2 linked regions of the Styela clava genome follow. The protein of the gene in region 1 purifies or fractionates together with the protein of each later gene. This does not show direct contact. Links are inferred from orthologs where the notes say so. Each region holds a gene or a part of one and is shown in the gene's direction. Other genes may lie near its edges.

Region 1 (11,266 bases):
TGTGGGCTGTCCACAACATTCGCATTTTTATACTTTTCTCTTTCCTGTGTGTTAGCAGATGTTTCATTAATAATGATTACAGATGTTTGTATTATTCCATGAAATATTTTTTCTGATTACATTCGTATAAATAAATATTGAGTACTTTTTACTAGTTACCATGAATTGGACGCGGTTTGTAGCTAGTATTAGATATTCGATTTATAATAATCTAATAAACAAGAGGGCTGTGCTCAAATATATGGACACCACCTAGTGGCAGATGTCGATGACGTCATGGCACACAAAAAAAAATCCCATATAGCTCACCGGAATATTTGAAATAAATAAAAGTAATAGCCTTCTAGAGAAAAATTTAATCTTTGAGCACTGAAAATTTCAAAGCGATGGTTCCAGTAATCAAAGAGAAAGGCGATTTTTTCTGTGACAAAGAACAACTAGAAGAAGAATAGTGCCAGCATAAAATGCAAAACGATGGTTTCGTTCACTAACGTGTACATGAATACAACAACAAGATTTGACTCTTTGATCGAACTTACATACAAAATATACATAAAAATCATTTGATGAAACGATCGTACATAAGTTATACTGATTGGCATGATAAAACTATTGCAATCTAAGAACTTTATGGGGAAACAAAGAAGCTGACAAACATTTTCAATGGATAAAAAGATTTAATGAGTAACTTCATATTTATGTGCACATTTTATTAATGTAATAATCTGCAGCAGATGTATTTATCGTGTTACATAATTGAATAACTTGAAATATTTCGACGAAAACTCATGTCATCAATATATTGGCAGCTCCTGGTCTATCCAATAATTATTATGCAATAAAACAGATTAACTGATACCAGACTCAATTTTTCATGGAATATATAACTAATGAATCAAAGCGGAAATTATTATAAATTGCCCGTTTTATTTATACAAAGATATATCAGTAACTCAATTTAAAAAACGCAATATGGTGTTGCAAAATTTCTGAGCAAATTGGGGGAAATTTTTTAATAAACTGTATTTCTATAACAGACGTATGTTTCAAGCTAAGTAATATCATTTAGTTGTTTTATTACAGTAAAATCATAATTAAGTTGTTTTAAACTTTATCATGTTTTATGAATGGACCAGATGGTACCAACATATTGTTGTAATAAATCTTCTAAAAAACAAAAGAAATTAAATTAAAATTCTAATCTGTGAAAATTTCCTTTTCACGATCTTCTCAAAGTAACAAAATATTGCTAGACAAAGAATGACCATGTGGCTTTTTCAAGCATAGCAGTTTTGTACGCTATACAGCACTTCTTATCGTGTTTCCCCGAAATTTAGACAGGATTTAGATTTATTTTTTTTTGAAGAATAACACTATTTTTTTTGGAAGAGCTCTTTTGTGTTCATTTATCAAAAATAAAATTTGAATTGTAGAAAATCACAAGATTTTCACTAAACATCATATAAAAACCGACATCTATTGTTTTTATTTGTATTTCCTATACAAAAATCAAGTGAAAAATATCATAATTGTGATATCACACAATCTTGAACAGTGGTGTGATCTTTATCTTACCTCGGGCCAATGAACCTTTCCTCTTCCACACATTTTAAATTTATTTTAAGGGTAGGGTTTAATTAAAATCATTTTGAAAATTCAAATTATTATCTTATTTTCAGACTAGGTCTTCATTTCGAGGAAACACGTTAGTTTTGCGATGATTAGCCATTGCTGTGTTATGTCATAAAAAAAATCAAATTAAAGTTAAGTGGGTCGCCATAAGCTGTGGTAATAAATAGTCTGTCCCAACTTCATCTAGAGCAGGTTCCCAATCTTTTCACCCTGACGGGCCGGTGAAATTGATTAAAATGTACTCGAGGATTGGCAAAATATTTCATGAATTAAACATAAAATAATAACATATATATGCACAATAAATACAACGTCGGGCACTCACTGTTCGTCTATGGGTAAAAAAGCACACAGAAAACATTTTATATAAAGAAAGCAGGTCCATGCCAAATCATACTCAGACACAATTAACACGAGTGAGAATTTTGCTTCTGTTTCGTTTCCAATATAAAAGGCAAACGAGGCATCAGGAAGTTTCTGCAGTACGTATGTCCGCAGTGAGTATTGAAAAGAACTTGGGAACAAACTAAACACATCTTTGATTTGGAATCAGGCACGAAATCCCGCTGGGTATACTGTAATCGAGAAAAGATCTCTGCGGCCCGTGCTTTTGTTGCGGGTATCGTGACCTCCTGTAGGCTCACATCAGGTTCATATCTTACTGGATGCCAAGGAAAGCCGTGGAATATTATACTGTTCTTGACTGTTTTCTTACGGCCTCGGGTATAAACAGAGAAATATTAATAACCACTGTACATAAAAAGTACGAAGAACAAAAAAATACCGGTGTCGATTTTAGGCTTCTGACACGTGGGAGATTTAACGGAGCGCTTTCATGACGAACCGGAAAGGCGAATTTTAAATGAAGCTAACAAACATAATCAATGGATACAAGATTTAACGAGTAACTTATTCATATTTCTGTGCAAATTTTATTAATGTAATAATCTGTAGCAGATGTATTTATCGTGTTACATAATTGAATAACTTCAACGTTTTGTCGCATGAACTTTCGATGACAATATAGTCAATGAAGACAGCCGTGGGGGGGGGGGGGGGGGGATGTAAATGTAGGCCCCTAATGTAAAATTTAAAGCTAAAAAAATAGAAGGTATTGTACGTACAAATCTCAGGTTTAAGTAGAATATTATATGGTATATATGGGTTGAAAGGGCAATTGACGTCATCGTTAATTGTGACGTAATGCTCCACTTTGGAGATGTCAATTTTTTATATTTAGTAAATTAGGCTTTTAGCATTTTGACCCACCAAAATTTAGGTTCCCCCTCGAGGGTCACCACGAATTCGATTTTTAAGCGCTTTACAGATTTCGGCCCATGGCCATCATGATTGATGTCTATGGACCTTTCCCCGACCTTTGACCCTCGGAAAATTCTCCCTATACTTTACCATTGCAAAATTGTCAAGGCTATTTCAAGAGTGCTTTTGCGAGTTGGCGTCTGTAAAATGGGGTATGTGTTTCAAACCATCATTATGATTCATCGCATACAACAATCTGTTTTTTAAAAGTACCGGTAAAGAATTTCAGGCTAGTCTATCACAGCCTAATTTTTATTACTGCAATTAAATTAAAACTCCTAGAAAGACAGAGTGATAATAATAATAATAATAATAATAATCTTTATTTTGATTTCCCCAAAAAAACATACACATAACAAATAATGAACACATAAAACAAACACACAGAATAATGGGAAATCGGGAAAACAGGCAAAACCTCGAGTAGGGTTTAAAACACGTATAAATACATGTGCCTGTTCACCCATGATATTACACTCACAAACATATTACAAAAAAAAGATAAAAACACGAACGTGTTATCGTTCCAACGTCCGGGCGTCTAACTTGTGTTACAAACAAAATGCAGGTGCGTAGGTTCTAATTTAAAACTGTTTACGTCGAAATGGACATGATTCGGGCTGTGTTTATTAAATTGGCGTAAACAAGTGCGAACTAGTGAGTTAGATAAAAGCAGTGTCAGAATGAGTAATAAATAAATCGAAATGTCTTTTGGTTGATTTCCTCTTTGTAAATAAAATCCGACGTTGTGATGTGCTGTAGTGTGCTAGGTGCAATGTTTCATAGAAAATGCCTGTCCATCTCTTTTTCCTTAGTTCTTTGCAAAGCAAATATGTAAAATTGGAATCTTGGGTAGCCTGTACAGCAATGCCAAAGTAGTCTATTATTTCGTTGTCCATCAATTAGGATGTTGATTGTTTCTAATTTTTGTATTCCATTTGTTTCCACTAACATTGAATTGAATTGAATTATCTGATTTTTATTTAAGTTCCCAAAACACAACTGAAAACTAACGAATAGAGTTCAAAAACGCGAAAACGAGGTAATGTTTACAATCACGCTTGAAAATCTGTCTGAGTGAGAAAAGTGTCTGAGCGAATGCGAAAAGGGGGCATTGTTACGTCACTTTTTGCATCTTGCTGATTGGCCAATGTCACGAAGTAAACAAGGAAGTCCATGCTCGGGGAAAGGTCCATTGCTTTGATGTCACGAAAATATGGCAACCCTAACTTAATCCAATATCCGACAGGTCACAAACATCCAGCCAGGCTCAACCAAAGTACAGGGAGAATATTTCAGGGGTCAAGGAAGGACCGGGGAAAAGTCTATCTTATCTAGATTTCGTGTCCAATAATGACCAAAAAACTCAGTGATGACTGTCTTTCATGTGATTCTACTTGTCGAGCAGACCGTGATCAATTTTTGTGAATTTATGACGTGTTGTTGATCACATGCCTGCGACTGCTCGCTTTCATCCTGTTCATATCTAAGAATCTGTAAGATTGTTAACTGTGATTGAAGGTTCAGATTGTGTGTCGATGATTCGTATAATATTTCAGTTGGATATTTGGCAAATCCCAAGCGTGGTTTTGGTCAGGATAGGATAGGATTTACATATTTATCCAGGGGGAGAGGAAAGCCGATAAGACGGCTTATGCATATGGCGAACCACGGCCTCTCGTCCGGTTAGCATTCCAAGTCGGGTATGGGATTAGTTTTACTGTATTGTTTGTTTTTCGGAAGCATGGACTTGGTGGTGGAGGAAGCCGTCAGCATTTACAGATTTATGGTACCGGTAACGACAATCCTTACCGGTACAAGATTAGGTATTACGGTAATACCGGTACTGTACCGGTACCGGCACCGTACTGTATTACGGTACCGGTACCTGAATACTGGCATCCTGCCGAATACTGGAATATGGTGTGACCCAATTTGTATTTTCTTTCTTTGTTTTGTTTCGTTTGTCTATTTCTCTTTTTCCAAGTACCGGTACTAAAGTGCAGAAGTAATACAGTAATAGTAGGTCTATACCGGTACCGGTACCGGTATCTTAATATACGGTGCGGTACAATTTTACTTCGACGTTGTGGCACATCGTGCTAAGTGTTAGGAATACACTCGCCACCACATCTCTGATTTACGGTACCGCACCCTGCGTGGGTTCGCAGGTTTGAATCCCATGCGGATGCGGGGATGATCATGTGCGAGAGGATTGCTGGACTCCTCACCGCCATAGGGTGGTTCACGTAACCGCTGGTCGTTTACTGCTTCCTGGCTTCCTTCATCATCAAATCCATGCTTCGAAAACAAAATAACTGGCTAACTAATCCCATACCCGACCTGGACTGGTAACCGGACGAGAGGCCGTGCTGCCGTGGTTCGCCATATGATTAGCCGTCTTGTTTCCTTTCCTCTCTCCCGAGATAAATATGTGAATCCTATCCTTATTTCGATCTTTCGTCTACAACACAAATTAAAATAACAAAACACAGACAAGGGCAACTGGAAGGTCGGGAAAATGGGCAAAACAGGAAAATGATTACACATCATGACAATCATACTAGAATAAATTAATGAACGAAGTACATGATCACCAGAAAATGAATTTCACGGGCGAAGCTTACTAATTTTGATGAGTGAAAGCTGTGTAGAATATAAAAACAAATAGTTATGTGACGGTGCCTGTGCCGAAATGTGAATACCAATAATAACAAATAATTGATTAGCTGCTGTTTTTTGTAAACAAATAAAGCTAAACAACAAACATGAAAACTAGTTTTGGGCGTTGCTTCGTATGTCTGTATGTTACAAAATTGGTTCGAATACGTAGAAATTGGAGTAAATGTTTTAGTCTTAGCAAAGTCCAACATTCCGGAGCTTGCTGTCAACAAATGATCAACGCAAATCTTTTTAAAGCAGCTCCAATGTATAAATGATATACAAGCTAGTCTGTATTCAATCCTGTTTGTCCGGTTTTCCAAGTTTTAGTCTTGAAATTTCTTACTCCGGTACTCCACTGTTTAATACCACATTCGCACCCGATGGCGGTCTAATGTTTTTCTTTTTTTTTCCCTTCTGATTTTATTTTGTCTGCGTGATTGTATGTCTGTATGTATAGATGTATGTATGTGCGCGCATGTTTCAATTAATTTATTACCTTTGAGTGAGCAAACATGACCACTTCCATTAACAACACCATTTTAATCTAAAATGTGTACGTTTCAAATCAGGCAAGAGAAGAGAATGCGGCTATGCGCATTAAAATGAGCGAAATGGCCAAAGATTAAACACAGCGACAAGAGCAAAAAACTTTATGTATTTTCATCTATATGAGTGTCGTTTTTCTTGACTTTACTTAGGAGTAAATTTTTGCAAATGATTAGGTTTACTTTTTTTTTACTGTGAACAAATATTATTAAAAACGAATGCTTAGGTTACGACATTTCATAATCATCTTAATATTTTCGACAGAATCAAACTAATTACTTAGAACTTTCTGAACATTACATATCAATGGCCGAGTCTACACCAAAATCCGAAGAAGTAAATGGAGAAAATTCATCGAGTGAACCATCTAATGCTTCTGCGAATAAAAACAGCCAATTTGAATGCAATATATGTTTAGATGAAGCTAATGATGCTGTCATTAGTTTATGTGGACACTTATTCTGTTGGCCATGTCTTCTTCAATGGTTGGAAACAAGACCACATCGACAGGAATGCCCAGTATGCAAAGCTGGAATCGATAGAGACAAAGTTATTCCTCTTTACGGACGAGGTAGCACCAAGCAGGAAGATCCACGGAATAAGATTCCTAAAAGGCCACAAGCTCAGAGACCAGAGCCAGAAAATAGGAATGGATTTCACGGATTTAATTTTGGTGATGGCGGATTTCAGATGTCATTCGGTATTGGTGCTTTTCCCTTTGGACTTTTCGGAACGTTTTTTAACATAAATGACGGCCGACCTCCCCCTCCGAGGCCAGATAACCCTAATTATCAAGATGAACAAATGCTGTCGAGAATCTTCCTTGGAATTGCTTGTATATTAATGTTCTGGTTATTATATGCATGAGATTGTGATTGTCAGTTTAATCGTAATTAATTTATAACGGTAAGTCTGGGAAAAAACGACCGCACTTTTTTAAATATTTTGAAGAATTTTATGTTAAAATAGAATAATTGTAAAGGACATTCATTTATTAAAATCTGAGAACTTTATAATTATTTACGTAATAATAATAGCTATGCATTATGTGAAATAAAAAATGAAAATAGAAGTCGAGTAATTGAAAATATTGACATATTGATAAGAGTTGCTTCATACAATGATAACATACACTAGGGTTAACTAGCTCCAACTGAGAATCTGATATTAAAAGTAGGCAGTGTCTTGCATGGTGTATAGTGCTTCATAGTCGTCACTTGGCGTAAATTATTTTTTAACTACCGTAGTTACAGTGGGGTTCGATTTTTATTAATGTACATAGCTGATACGAAATATGTTGTTTATTACCTTGTGCTTTTTTGTTATTGATTGTTAATTAAGTCAAACACATTCTTCGATCAACTTTGCATTGAACAGCAAATCTTTATTTTTGGATTTGTGTTTGATAAAAAAAACCTACAAATCAAATTTTTCAATTAGCTAACGGTTTCATATTATTCATACTTCATAGTGCTTAAGAAAAACTACTACTACTATCGCAATTCGACACAAAGTGTACATGTACATCGATTTGCTGAACTTTTGTTTTCTCTGTTGAGTCTTTTGGAACCCTATTTTTATCGGAACCTTTTGAAACACTTTTATTTGGTACTTGACCCATGTAATCATATAAATAGGAATTATAGATTAACTCATGATATTGAAAAAAGTCATGAATTTGTAGAGTGATTGTCACATTATCAATTTCTCTGTTTCACTTTCTCTGTTTACGATTAATTTTTCGTTTTCACAAAAACCATATAAGATTCATGGGTATATTTCACTAGAATTCCAGATTGTGCGATTTTTATTCATTGTATGTCTCTGTCCTAATGAATAGGAAATGTTCGGTGTGTATTGATTATATACCGCTAGCTCATCATAATTGCTTTGTATTAGTTCAATTTTATTGTTCATCTGATTTGGCATAAAGGAGATTGAAAACGATTCGAATATTATCAGACCAATATCACTTTAATAAAAGAGAACATTAAAAAATAAAAGTTAAATCTCTATTTTTTTGTGAAAACACTTTTATTTGTCATTTGAACTTTTGTATCCATATAAATAGGAATGATAGAGATCAATAGGGAATATGTAAATTAAATTCATCCAGAACTTTGTGTAGGCAAATGGTAGGCTATTCGTTTTTGGCCAGCCCTGGTTGTAATGATTTTCAAATGTCAGTGTTAATCATAACAGAAAATCCTAATCCATTACCTGGTCAGATTTAATATAGCATCTAGCATGGATTAGCTATTTTGAAGTTAGGCCTTTTTATGGATTGCATCATGTCTTTTCTGAGTAGGAAGAAATATACAAACCGGGACTGATGAATTACTGAAACAGATGTATGGGTGGTAACTGGAATTTATCTAGCAGTTTAACGATTGTTGCTAACTGCTAAATTATTCAATGTGGTTCACACAGAACTGAGATAATTTTTCACGTCAGGGCTGGGCTCCAGCTTCCTACCCACTGGTGTTTTTTGTTTTGATCACTACCATAAAATATCAACGCAAATCAATCTCAAGTTCAACTCGGAACTTTGAATTAATATTAGAAATTGAATTTTAAAAATATTGTTATTTGTAAGAGTAAGAAGTATAAATGTGATAAATAATTAGGAGCTGAAGCCACTAAAATTTTGGGTAGCCAATTATGGTAAGCTTAGCTTTACCTCTAACATAATGTTACGGCTCCTCTGCCTTGGTTCACACAAAGTATCTTCAAGTGTTATAGTAAACGGAAGGGTGTTCAAGTATATTTTGATGTTTCTATTATTTCGCATAAGGACTATTTCATGCTTGCTGTGCTGTTATTATCTGTGACTGAATAACATAATAATACTGTTCATGTTTTTTATTATTTTTTTTTTGATAAATGTTGTTATGAAAGTACAGAATTATATGTTCATAAGGTAATACTGGGTTTGCTACCATGCAATTCATTTTCATATTACATTAAGAGTAGATTTGTTGTGCAATGTTTTATTTAACTAATGCTCATTGAATTTGTGCGAACTTGCTTATTACAGATTGTAGTGTATGTCAGGGAGAAGCTAGTGGGAGGTGGTTACGTGGGTCATAACCCCCAACCTCCCCGTTTGAAGATTTTTTTGATGCAATGTAATTTTTAATTTCTGCGAGGCGAGTTACAAGCAATACTGGAATATATTCAATGGCGTTCCGCCGGTAACGACACACAATTCTCAGTTTGAGCCGTGCATTGTACCTTTGTTGCATTTTTAATGCCAATGTGACCCCCCCCCCCCGGTAAAAAATCCTGGCTGCACCCCCTGGTGTATGTATAGAAATTAGAATTGTTGCATTCAAATAATGAAGTGTCGATTTTATAATAAATGTCTATCATTGCAGGATTGATACTCTTTCAGTCCATAAAATTTCGTTTTTGCTTTCTCCCAGATTGTCCAATTGTCACTCTTTTGTTTTGTGTATAGGTTCATAATTATTACTTTTAAAATTGATCGATAAAATACAAAAATGCAAGAGCCTGTCGACCATACCACACATAATCCAGACTTGGTGACTGTTATGCCGAATGGAGAAACCGTACCAGGAGGAGGAATTGTTACACACCATGTTGCAGACAAATTTTTTGCGACAAGGGTAGGTTGTTACCTCCCGGTATATTGGCTTCAGCATACTTTTTCATTATTATAGTTATTAACATTTTTTAAATTCAGATATGAAAATTACTGTTTCAAATGTAAAATTTACCAATTTTATGCTAAAATTTTGCTTTTCTCTTCATGCACCATGATTTTTATTTACCGTAACATATCTTATTTAGGATCAAAATTATTTGCGAGTTGAAATTTCGAAATATTAAACTCTGTGATAGCAAGTTAGCAACATCCTTAATCATGACCATGTCTCAATTTTGCGTGAGAGACTTTCTTTGATTTAATCATAAGACTTGTTAACAAATCAAAAGCAATGTAGGCCTGATTCATAAATGTTCTATTATTAGTGAATTTTCATTTCTTGTTACTTGAGTAATTAGAAAAAATCCAAAAAAAATGACCAAATTGTATAAGTTTTTGAATATACTATGCATAAAAGAACCATCATTATTCTAAGCCCACATTTACTATTTTAATAATTAACTAAAACATTTATCTTGTCCATAGGGCAATAATCTGGACATGGCAGTGGAAGATGTGAAAAACCAACAGTTGAATCAAGAAATTGATGGATTGGTCCTTGGAAGATGGCTTCTAACAGAGTAAATATGTTAAATAATTAACTGTATATTACCAAATTGCTTATCAATACTTACATTGTATGATTGTTATTATCAATAGTGCATGGGTATTATACTTAGTTTTGTTAGTTTATTTCAAGTTCAATGATGGGTACTCCCGTCGTGAGTGTACCACGTTAGGGTTAGGGGCAGGGCATAATTTTATTCTGATTTTCCCTACTTTTGTTCTATTACGAGTTCGAGAACTGTCTGTGTTAGCCAAGTAAATATACCCCCTACCCATAGGCTACCGTCCCGTTATGCAATTTGATGTAAAGTAGGCGAACAAAATTAGTTACCTCCATATTGGTATGCACACTTCTGGAGCGCCAAATGATGTAACACATGACAATAATTTGTGTAGCCTATTATACAGTTGAGTTTGGTGAAGGGTTTTCACTCTAATTGATTAGAAAATCAATTCATTATTTGCATGGTAATACTTTATAGATATGCCATTAGTATTCCAGTTTGCTTCTGGCAGTACTTTCAAGATCATTTTTGTGTTTACAATTTCACAAATAGTCACATTGCAAATACATATATACTAATGATGAAACCCACCCTTATTCCAAGTGGTATTTTCTTGTGATTCTTTGGTTTTGATTGCCATAATTTCTATTATTCGGCACATAGTGCCGACAGAAATTTTCCACATTTTAAAAGAATGGAGCTGGCTATCTGTTCACATATTCGACTAGGTCTGGTAACCAACCAAACCGAAATTTATGCATGATTCAACTGTATGCTTCTATACTATAGAACAGTGGCTTTCAGCCGGGGTTACGAAGAACGCCAGGGTTTCGCCAGCACAGTCCGCAGTTCCACAAGTTTCCAT
Region 2 (11,035 bases), on another chromosome or scaffold:
GCGTATAAATGCATTGCAGTCATAGACTATTTGCGGGGCTATTGAACTAAGTTGGACTTTGGCTACCGTAACAATTATAGAGGATGTAAGTGATCGCTTTCTAAAACATAATTTAATAGAATAAGACAAATAGTTGAAGAGAAAAGCAATTTTTGTCCAAATACATTGAAAACAACAATATATATATAGACTGATATATATATATATATATAATTTTCGCTAGAAGGCATTTACGTTTATTTATTTTTAAAATCTCTGTGGGTTCTGAGGGATTCGTTTTTTTTTTTGTGCGATTTTGTCTTTTGTGACAGATTGAATACCCACACTACTCAGTTTCGGCCTTCTTGGCCTCCATATATTTGGACATAAATCTCATGTTTCATTTCATATATTGTTTAAGTGGGCATGTTTTCTCGGTAAGATATGTCGAGGAACGAGAATCGGAATCGATAATTTAGAAATCGAATACTTGGAAGTAGTCATACTATGCATCCTTAGTTTCTACTGAAATTGTTTGAGCAAGGAGTTTGTGATGCCAAAGAAGCTCTTACAAATGTTAAAAATGAGAGAACCGTAACTAATCCAGTAAAGTCTCTAGGAAATACTGAACTATTAGCCAGAAACTTTTCAATTATATACTCTTGCCTGGAATCTTGAAGACAGCAAAAATGTAATTAGTAACAGAGGAAAAACTACCACTGTTGTGTTCTTGTATTTATGCATATTTTAAAAAATTATATCTCACACACAAGTTTAATAAGTTCCATTGAGTATTTTTAGCTGGGGATGGAAGAATGGTGTAAAATGCTGAATTGTTATAATAAATTAAGATAGATAGATAGTTTATTTCGAAAACTCCATAACAAACCTAAATTTAAAATGGAGAATTCTGGAGGGCAAGCAAAACCTACAAAAAAGTTTAAAACATGAAGTATCTCATGTGCCTGCCCACCAGCACGCACACAAAAACACAAGCCCAATTAAATGAGGCTTGGGCCAAACTTAAAAAACAAAATACACGATAGTAATAAACTTTCGGGCTGTTGTACTCTCTTTCAACAATTACGTTGATAATGACCAATACCTACAACCTCATGCAAAGATAATGTGGGGAGTGGAATGTAATAAATTTGCGACGATAGTCATACTCATGAAGCCATGAAAGCTTTAAGAAAAACCAAGCCATGAAAAACTACACTGATTGCTAGATTGGGCATTGCGGAAAAGGTGATAAGTGGTTTAATATACAAACAAACGCAAAACCATGGCGGCAAATTCGATGTGCGGACACTCATAAAAGCAATTATTAGGAAAACACTAATCACGCGTGAGCAGGTCTGTAGCCTAATTGATACATTGACGTGGCCAACATTGTTAAAACAGTACCGGTATACACACAGAGAGAACAAATCAAAAATATGCCACTAAATGAATGTTTAAAAATGTTACACTGCAAACTATTTACACATATATAGTTGAATACTCAGTATTCAAGCGGAATTTCTAGAAATAGCAGTATATCATACTCTTCGTCACAAAATAAAATATCTGAATCAATCCCTGTTGTATTCATCTTTCGATTCTGTTATGATGTCCGTATGTTGCCTTTATGCTGCCATGTAATTTCATATTTCGGCCTTTACTTGTTGATATTCCTTAAGTGCTGGTTCATTGTTGTCAATCTAATCTTTCTGCGCCGTTCAAAAATGCGACCGCACCCGACGACTGCCAAACACAAACTTTAAATCCAATCTTTTATCCATAAACTTCTTTAATTCCGGTGGATGGGCTTTGATCATGTTAATATCACGAGATACAAATCTAATAGTAAATACCGAAACACACAGCGCGTAGCATTCTCAGTCCAACAGCATTGATTGATCTTTCATCTAACAGAGCAACAAAAACACGTCCGACCCAGACGGCAGTCTACTCGGCAGCCTCGATCACGATAGGAGAGAGATAAGATAATACAGCGATTTTGTTATTTGCACCTTAAAAGAAGAATCGCTGGGCATCGGCGTGATCTATATGTGGGCGAAGCAATGTCCTTTACCTTTGCTTGGGTATACTTAGATCTAGGATAGCAAAAGTCTATATTTGACCACAAATTGCCGATTGTGACATTTCGTAATTGGGACTAAGAGATTCCCAGAAATCAGATCTTCCGCTTATGGTGATGTGCTTGCCATTTCAATCAAATAAAACTTCTGTCCGTAACTTCTTATAGATAGGAATGACAGGCTCCCAGCATTCAGACAAAGTCTTCTTAAGAAATGTGGTTTGTATTTCAATCAAATGATCCATGTACAAATATACAGCAACTGTCTATGATGACTGTTGTATGAGCTCGAGCATGGAGGGGTTTTGCTGTAATTATCGGTATTCAAATCGTGAACATCTGAAAAAATGTGATATGCTTTACAACATAAGTCTGTCATTATTAATGATCGAAGCTATAACCAATCTTACCTTGTAACATTTGCAGAAGTAAATAAGATAACTTTCTTTCACTTTGGCATACCGGTACTTTTTGAGGGGAGGCGGACAACTCGACTACACGGACAACTCACCAGAGACAACTCGACTACCTAGAGGCCTGGTGAGTTGTCCGTCTTTTGACATTTTCTACGGTGGTGTTTTAGGTCTATAGAAATGCGTTTTTGATATTTTTAGTGCTCAAGTGTTGAGAAAAACACATAAATATGCTCTAGAAAGCATTTTTATTTGTATAAGTGGCTTATTTTGATCATGTTGTACGAATACAAATACAGTCTACAGACGAAATTGGAGTAACGTTAGCGAAGTTAGACTGTTGACTTATAGGACTGTGTTCGTTTAATTTTTTGAACTTTATTGGTATTAAATGTTTTGAATGAGCACCTTTAAATATATTAAAACCTTTATACTTCACAGTAACACTTAAATATTTATGAATGTGAGCTCCGTAGTCTATGGTTGCAGTAGTCTGCAGTCGCCCGACAGGCCGTCAACTCACCAGTCGAGCAAACGCTCTGCGACGTGACGTCATCGATGCTCGAGGTGAAGACAACTTGACTACCGAGCAACGAGAGGCAGACAACTCACTAGTCGAGCAATCGCTCTGCGATATCGATGCTCGAGGAGAAGACCTTGCTTTGTAAAACAAGAGATGCTAACTCAAGAGTTGCATAGCATTTACTTAGTGCCGACTGATATTAGTTGTAAGCCAACTCACCACGGCAAGGTTTCAGTCATAGAGTTGGAATTTCTTTTTGCAGAATAAAACCAGGAACAGATAGGCACTGTCGCTGCGCCTGGCAAAGAAACTGGGCCGAAGAATGGATAGAAGATGTTTACTTTTTGTCACGATTAATGAATTTAATATGATGTTTGAATACTAAACGTTATGGGGGAATTTAATGGATGGAAGGTTTTGTTTTCCTTTTCGTTACGAATAATGAATTTTATTTGAATACTAAACGTTTGCTGCGTTACATACTTACTCTTTGCAATACTGCGGCCCGTAGATCCTTGAACACCTTCGAAGAAGAGAGTCCACAGATAACTCTCTTTCCTTGTTCTGTTCCCAGACACGTTGCACCCTCTCGTTGGCTTCCGCATACCTGCCGTTGACACGCCCCACAACGTCCGCCTCTATCCCTATACTTACCTCGTACATTGTTGAGATTAAACTGTAAAAAGGCATATTTTTCCGAGTTATACTGTTAAAATGGCGGTGCCAACCTTCCAGATGATTGTTGGTTCTTATTTCTACGTCAAATACTGACCAATCATTGGGAGTCCAGACACTGTTGTATAGCCATGTGTTTTGAAAATATTCGGCGAAGATCTTGAGTTTGCATCTTTTCGTTCAGTGATTTGAATATGGACGTAATAAACATAGCTGGTATATAGCACAGCGCCATGGCATGCTTGATCAGGTCTCTTGTTCCAGCGTCCCTAAAACAAAAACATGTTAATACAAAAGAAGTGAAAGATGTACAAAGACATATATAAATATGGTTAACCACTCACTTGTCGCATAGGCGAGCCAAATTATTGTGACGCACATTCTTCATGATGGCCTGAGTGAAGTGATATCCATGCACGGAGATTAGATAAGGTACCAGATCGGTGATAATGAAGCCGCGCGCCGAGATTACTGCTCGGTTATCGCCGAGTTTAAAGCCTCATTATCGCCGGCCTGCCCCCTACAAACGTAAATACTCATTAGCCGAGGTCGTTTTCATCACAGTTTTATACTGAAACGAGGACGACTAACGGTATATTAACTCCACAAAAACTACGCAAGAATTCAAGATGACTACTCCAAAAATGTGACGACAACGTTACCATGAAACAGGAGGGACTCATCTGTGACGTCTGTCGAAATTGGTTTCATCGCAAGTGTTTTAATAATTCAGATGTGGCAATGACAAGGGAACAGTACAGCCTATTAAAAAAACAGGACGTAACGTTTGAGTGGAAGTACCCGGACTGCTACCAGGCCCATGACACCCATCATAACTCCAACCCGATTGTTGTATCCCAGCAGATGGAACCTAGCCGTCGGCTGGTAGACTACTCAGGCGGTGAGTTGGCTTACAACTGATATCAGTCGGCACTAAGTAAATGCTATGCAACTCTTGAGTCTGCGTTTTGCAAAGCAAGGTCTTCTCCTCGAGCATCGATATCGCAGAGCGATTGCTCGGCTGGTGAGTTGCCTGCCTCTCGTTGCTCGGTAGTCGAGTTGTCTTCACCTCGAGCATCGATGACGTCACGTCGTAGAGCGTTTGCTCGACTGGTGAGTTGACGGCCTGTCGGGCGACTGCCGTAGTCGAGTTCAGACTACTGCAATCATAGACTACTGAGCTCACATTCATAAATATTTAAGTGTTACTGTGAAGTATAAAGGTTTTAATATATTTAAAGGTGCTCATTCAAAACTTTTAATACCAATAAAGTTCAAAAAATCAAACGAACACAGTCCTATAAGCAGGGTTGCCATCTACCCAGAGCCAAAAATAAGCACGGGCGTCAAGAAGGAGATCATACACGAGTCTTCCAATTTTGATCATTAGAAGTCGCTTCGAACACGGTTGTAAGCAGCTCCGAAATTGCAAAAAGCTATGGAGTCACTGCCACACGCAATCTCTAAAGCAGGGAACTTTTTGTCGCTCGCGGGCCAAAATCAAGTGTTACGAATCTTGGCGGGCCGCACATATTTTTTCGAGAAAGTTAAAAACTGAACGGGCGGCTGATGAACCACATTATTTACACAGATTAGAAATTGAAGTTCTAGACTTTAATTAGCGAGCGAACACTGCTACAACACGTGGACTCAAGTCGTGCAAAATATTTACAAATACCATTTAATGTAACACTAATATTATTTGTTGCATTACGTTTGATACCTTTTCGAAATCAGGTGACACACTGGATAAAACCAAAATCAGAACATTTTCTACATTCACCAATCCAAGTTCTCCGAACGGAAAATTTTATATTGGTTCAGTAATTGAAAACAAAAGCGATTTTTTATAACGATGGGAAAAAGAATTCACAATGGAGAACAAGACCAACATAATAACGATCCGTAAGTTCAGTGAAGCATTGCGGGCCGATTTATTTTTGTCCGCGGGTCGGATATGACCCGCAGGTGGCCGACCCCTGATCTAATACTTTGGATTCCCGCAATGCTTATTATGTGTTGTGGTAGTATTGGGGACACTGATTACCTCCCCCTTTCTCAATGTCGCAATAGTAGTAGTTATTAGCAAATTCCTTTTCATATTCGAACAAGGACTCATGATTACGCTTACTAGTTGTCTACTAGCCATTCACGTTTCTAAGAGAAAATAAGCACGCAACTCAAAAATAAGCTCTTTTCTTAGAAATAAGCACATTGTTACTTTATAAGACGCGGGCTAGAAAATAAGCACAAATCTTAGAAATAAGCACAATATGGCAACCCTGCCTATAAGTCAACAGTCTAACTTCGCTAACGTTACTCCAATTTCGTCTATAGACTGTGAAACCGCCTCGCATTTGTTTTCGTTTGTTTCACACTTGACTGATTTTGTGATTTGCGTATTCTGCGATTGCAACATAACCTCACACATTGATGTTGCCATGTTTCTAGTATTGTTTTGTAATTATTTCTAGGTTTGTATTGGGCATAATTAATGCTGCTCAAGTAGGGTTTAGTACTAGTGTAATTTATGATATTTTCCTGATGACAACCTACCCCGATTTGCAGACTGTTAACGAATTAGAACATAGAATTATGCTAATTTGTCCTGTGTTGCTAGGCCAGCTCTCTTTGTGTTGTTGCTTATTTCTGGCAACGCTCGTTCTTTCGCTCGCTGCTTTCTGGGCGGGAATGTTGGCAGTGATTATCTGCTCTCCAGTTTTGTTAGATTTTTAGCTGTTTAAGGTCTCTTAGGAACCGGGTTTTTAAGTCATATATTTAGTAAAAGTTACCTTTGAATCTTTCCCAGCTCTATTCGCGTTTAGATGTTCGTTATTCTCAGTAGGCTAGGAAAACAGTTGCAAGTAGTTATTTCATGATATTTTGTGTGTTTATTTGTTAGATCTGATCAAATATAGAGCTAATTAAAATAATAGCTTCCAGTCAAATAATTGGTTGTTCTTTGAGTTGAAGGCTACATCGTCAAGTAAGTCTTTGATTTATCGTATTTTATGCTTTATTTAGTGATATGAAACTGCAATTTTAAGGTAAACAATTGTGCTGTATTTTTGGCTTTTTCAATTAATTTGTGATTCTAAATTGATAAATATTGTGCCTTTTAAGTGCTAATTGGTTAGATGTTTGGTAAGTTTTATTGTGTGACATATTTTGAGACTGTTTTCCATTTCTGTTTAGAAAACCGTACAAATTGACAACTGTATACTGATTCGTACTTTCAACTGTAATTGAATTTCAATCGTACGTACACTGCATTTTAAACGTACCTTTTTCGTGACAACAAGAAATTTCAAAAGGCGATTTGTACGCGTATTTTTATTGTGGAGTCTCGAAACGATTCAGAGAGCAACCGTCCGTTAACGCGTGTTGGCGCTAGATAGCGACTCCGATTTGGCGCCTACAGACTGTATTTGTATTCATACAACATGATCAAAAAAGCCACCTATACAAATAAAAATGCTTTCTAGAGCATATTTATTTATTTTTCTCAACATTCGAGCACTAAAAATATCAAAAACGCATTTCCATAGACCTTAAACACCACCATAGAAAATGCCAAAAGACGGACAACTCACCAGGCCTCTAGGTAGTCGAGTTGTCTCTGGTGAGTTGTCCGTGTAGTCGAGTTGTCCGTCAGCCTTTTTGAGCTGCTACCCGTACCACTGGCACCTGTATTCATAAGCACCTGTAGTGGACATAACGATCGTTTCAAAATTTTGTTGTTATTGTTATCATTTGTCTCCATCAACACGTTTTGAAGAAATGGCTTTTCTCTTCGAATACTGGACCAATTGCTTTGAAATTTTCAGTGGTTAAAGATAAAAATTTTTTCCAGAAGGCTATTACTTTTTTTTCGCTATGACGTCATCAAAATTATGTGACTCTACGTGTCCATATATTTGAGCATAGCTCTCTTGTTTTATTTTAGATGACAATTTTTGTCACTGTGTTGTTTTTGCAGTGAAATTGAACTAGGCCTACAGCATCACCGTTTTGCGTCAGGGAGTGTTTTTTTGTTCCATGTTCTTGTAGGAAAAGCACTGTTGTGTTACACCGTAAATATATACTGTTACACCATAAATATATACTACTACGTTACACATACACGTCTCACATTTTAATTTAGAAGGTAGAAGTTTATTGCATCCCATTATTTACTTTAATTGGCTGTTTTTGTTAAATTGTTTCCAAAGTACTGCCCGATTGTAAATCGCGTTTTTCTGTGTTTGTTTTATTCTTTTTTGGTGGGCGGGCTCGTACATTATACGCTATTTAACTTTTTTTAAGTTATGCCCGTCTCTCAGGTATCTCTGCATTTTGTTTGTCTGTTTACTTTTTGTATTGTTTATGTCAAAGAACCAAAATAAATGATTGATTGAAGTCAGACCTAGCTGCGTCGGCTTTCAGAGCAAGAAATCGCAGCCGTCACTTCTTTTTGCATCAAGTCGCAACAGGTCAAAGGTTATGAATGTCCCTAATTGGTCTTATTTTTACCAACTGGTTCATTAATTGTTTCCCACACTGTCTTGATGTTGCCTTTGTGAGAGACAAATTTAACGTTAGACATATAATAACTTGATTTTTTTTGGATTAGCCAAGCACAAAAATTCCTGTATTCAGGAAACGCAAAAGCAGATAATCTAACCACAGAGTGAAGTAACAACAACGTAGTCACGTGTTAATCAGCTGAGAAAAGTCGAGTTGTAACTACTAACTAGTGACAACTACATATACCGTATCTCGTACCGGTTTACGTTGCCAAATGCAGAAATAGGGGTTTATGAGTAGACTATAGTGAATTTTGCTTTAGTTGCATATTTTCTTCTTGACATGTCGTCGTCTTACCTGATTGACGGAATTGGCGATGAGGTAACAGTATTGTTAGGCGTTCTCGTAGCAGTTTTTGTCGTCATAGTATCGTGGTTGTCCACGAGAGTGAGCGATTCCAGTGGAACCACTGAAAGGTGAGTGACTAAGATTAATATTTTTTTTAAATCTGTAGGTTGAACTACTGTGTTCTAATATTTTGAGTTTTAAATTGGTCGAATGAAACTTGATAATTAGACTATAATACTGATGTATGAACGTTTTGCGTAGTGCAAATTTTGTAGCCATAAGTTTAAAGCTATTTTAAGGTTGCCGATGACAAGTAGCCTAGACCGAATGGTCATTTCGCGGTTATCCTGTCGATTTGGTACAAATATTTTGTGATCTTACTCACTTTCATTTATTATGCTTTATCGGAATGGCAAAGACTGGATTGTGGTGGTTTACTTCGGTTAGTTTCTGTTCCTGTGTTCTGCTAATTATAAGCTCATACCTAAATTCTGGCTGAAAAGGCGGGGCTTTTTGGCTAAAATTTGGACCTGACGCCGTGTATTATAAAAATGATCCTGCCTAGTCTACTGGTTGACAAAAACTTTGACTCCATCGCCAAGACAACATAATTTTTCTATGTAACTGATGTAAAGCCAAGCCTCCTAATTGCATTCTAAGAATGCTTAGTCAACTCAATGATTTTGAGTTCTGTTGGCAATTTTTATTTATCGTTCTGTCATTGGAAGCCTGAAATTCTGACTTTGATGCGTTTTAAAATCAGAATTACAACTCCTGAACTTTGGCACCAATAGAAATAAAAATATGATAAACCCACATTCCGCACCCCGGACAGCCTCACCAAAAATATCAGATCTCCATCAATGCTATGTTATATTCTGTTTATCAGTTTTCAAAATAGTCAGCAGACATCTGCAACTGTAGAGAATCAGACACACAGTGCATCAGCCCAACCAAATGTTCCAACAGAAGCTGTCCAGACAGGTAAAAATGTTTTCAGTTAAAAACCTATTCAACAATGAGCCAGTTCAGCAGTTAGTGTACTTGCATAAAACAGTATATTAATGACAAAATCAACATATCATTATCAGTATTGTCTTCTATACTAAATCTATTCATCTTTTTACAGAAGAATCTTCTTCAAATTCAGATGCTTCTGGGCCCACACAAGATGAGTCAGTTGTGAGCAACTCATCACCAAATGATGCTCCAGTATTAAGACATCGAATTCTTCATGATGCACAAGCATCTGCACAAACACCTCCGACACAGGAATGTAAGTCTTTTCAAAAATTATAAATTTCAACAATTCCAAAAACCATATTGAATTTTTACAAAATGTGTTATTTATTGTCTTCTATGTTCCAAAATCAGTAACTGTGATCTAATCAGTTAGATTAATTTGTTTAACTTTTTATTAAGCACCGACTTCCTCAACCGCTGAAGGTGGTGCAAGCATCACAATACGTTTGAAATTTATGGATGAAACTATACAAACTGTGAAAGCTAATCCTGATGAGACATTGGAAAATTTTATGAGGTTATTACCTTTTATAATATATTATTGGGTGTAATACCTCATTTTGTCATTATTGGGCAATGTTTAGAATTCGAATAAGATATCGCATTGTTGAAAATTGTGGAGAAATTGAAAATCTGGCTATAACAACAGTGTTGTCATTTTATTGATTGTTATTAAAACCTCTGAGGCAGTATATATTGCATTCTGTTATTTTTTTTTTATATGTCACTTATTTCACGCCTTTTGCTCTGAACAAGGCTCTGTACAAGCAGCCACTGGAGCTAAATTATTGGAAAAACCGGAATCTTCACAGTCACCATTGCCCATACAATTATTCACACCCTGGGTGGGTGTCCGAGATGTACTGATGCAGTGCCAATACAGTTAGGTCCAATGTTTCAATAACTACTGGGCCATTGTGCATTCTGTTGTTTTTGTTGAAACACCAATTTAAATTTTTACAGCCGACAATTCACCTCTGATACTCGTAATCGATATAGATTAATTTATAGAGGACAAGTTTTGAGAGATCAAAGCCGGACTTTACGCCAGTTTAATTTAGTTGGAGATACCACTGGGGAAAATCCAACTATACCAATGATTCACTGTTTTCTGTCACCTGCTACTCCTGCCAACGAAGCAGGTGTTAACATGGCTAGTAGTGCTTCACAACAAATGCAGATGGTTGCAGAAGAACTCCACATAGGATCTTTCATGCTTCCAATACTAGGCAAGTTATTCATTTGAAATTTATTTTTTTGCTTGCCATCAGCTTTGGCATATGATGAGAACAATTACTTCTACCAAAATAATATAGGGTAACGCCAAATAATTGAATCCAGCACATTTGGAACATTCTCCTAGAGAAGACTCAACTTTTGTGCAAAGCATCCAAGGTTGCTCAAACTTTTGGGTATTATGATACACATAACAGAAGTTCAGGTGTTAACTTTTTTTTCGTTTTTTTAGGAGTAATCAGGAAATTT

The links.
Region 2: the proteins of E3 ubiquitin-protein ligase RNF185-like (region 1) and transmembrane and ubiquitin-like domain-containing protein 1 purify together in Homo sapiens (affinity purification with western blotting; 3 studies listed by BioGRID and IntAct, with this or other methods). This does not show direct contact. The link is inferred for Styela clava from reciprocal best matches to the Homo sapiens genes RNF185 and TMUB2.

What each region holds. Positions count from the first base shown.
Region 1 is NC_135251.1:12,012,487-12,023,752, reverse strand, and holds E3 ubiquitin-protein ligase RNF185-like, read left to right. Parts: upstream 1-6,413; 5' UTR 6,414-6,468; coding exon 6,469-7,029; 3' UTR 7,030-9,622; downstream 9,623-11,266. Other genes in the region: tumor protein p63-regulated gene 1-like protein, read left to right, coding at 9,666-9,791, 10,316-10,410. UniProt on the Homo sapiens protein: E3 ubiquitin-protein ligase that regulates selective mitochondrial autophagy by mediating 'Lys-63'-linked polyubiquitination of BNIP1.
Region 2 is NC_135252.1:10,063,279-10,074,313, forward strand, and holds the start of transmembrane and ubiquitin-like domain-containing protein 1, read left to right. Parts: upstream 1-6,420; 5' UTR 6,421-6,659; intron 6,660-6,868; 5' UTR 6,869-8,521; coding exon 8,522-8,655; intron 8,656-9,416; coding exon 9,417-9,511; intron 9,512-9,656; coding exon 9,657-9,803; intron 9,804-9,949; coding exon 9,950-10,067; intron 10,068-10,513; coding exon 10,514-10,779; intron 10,780-11,035.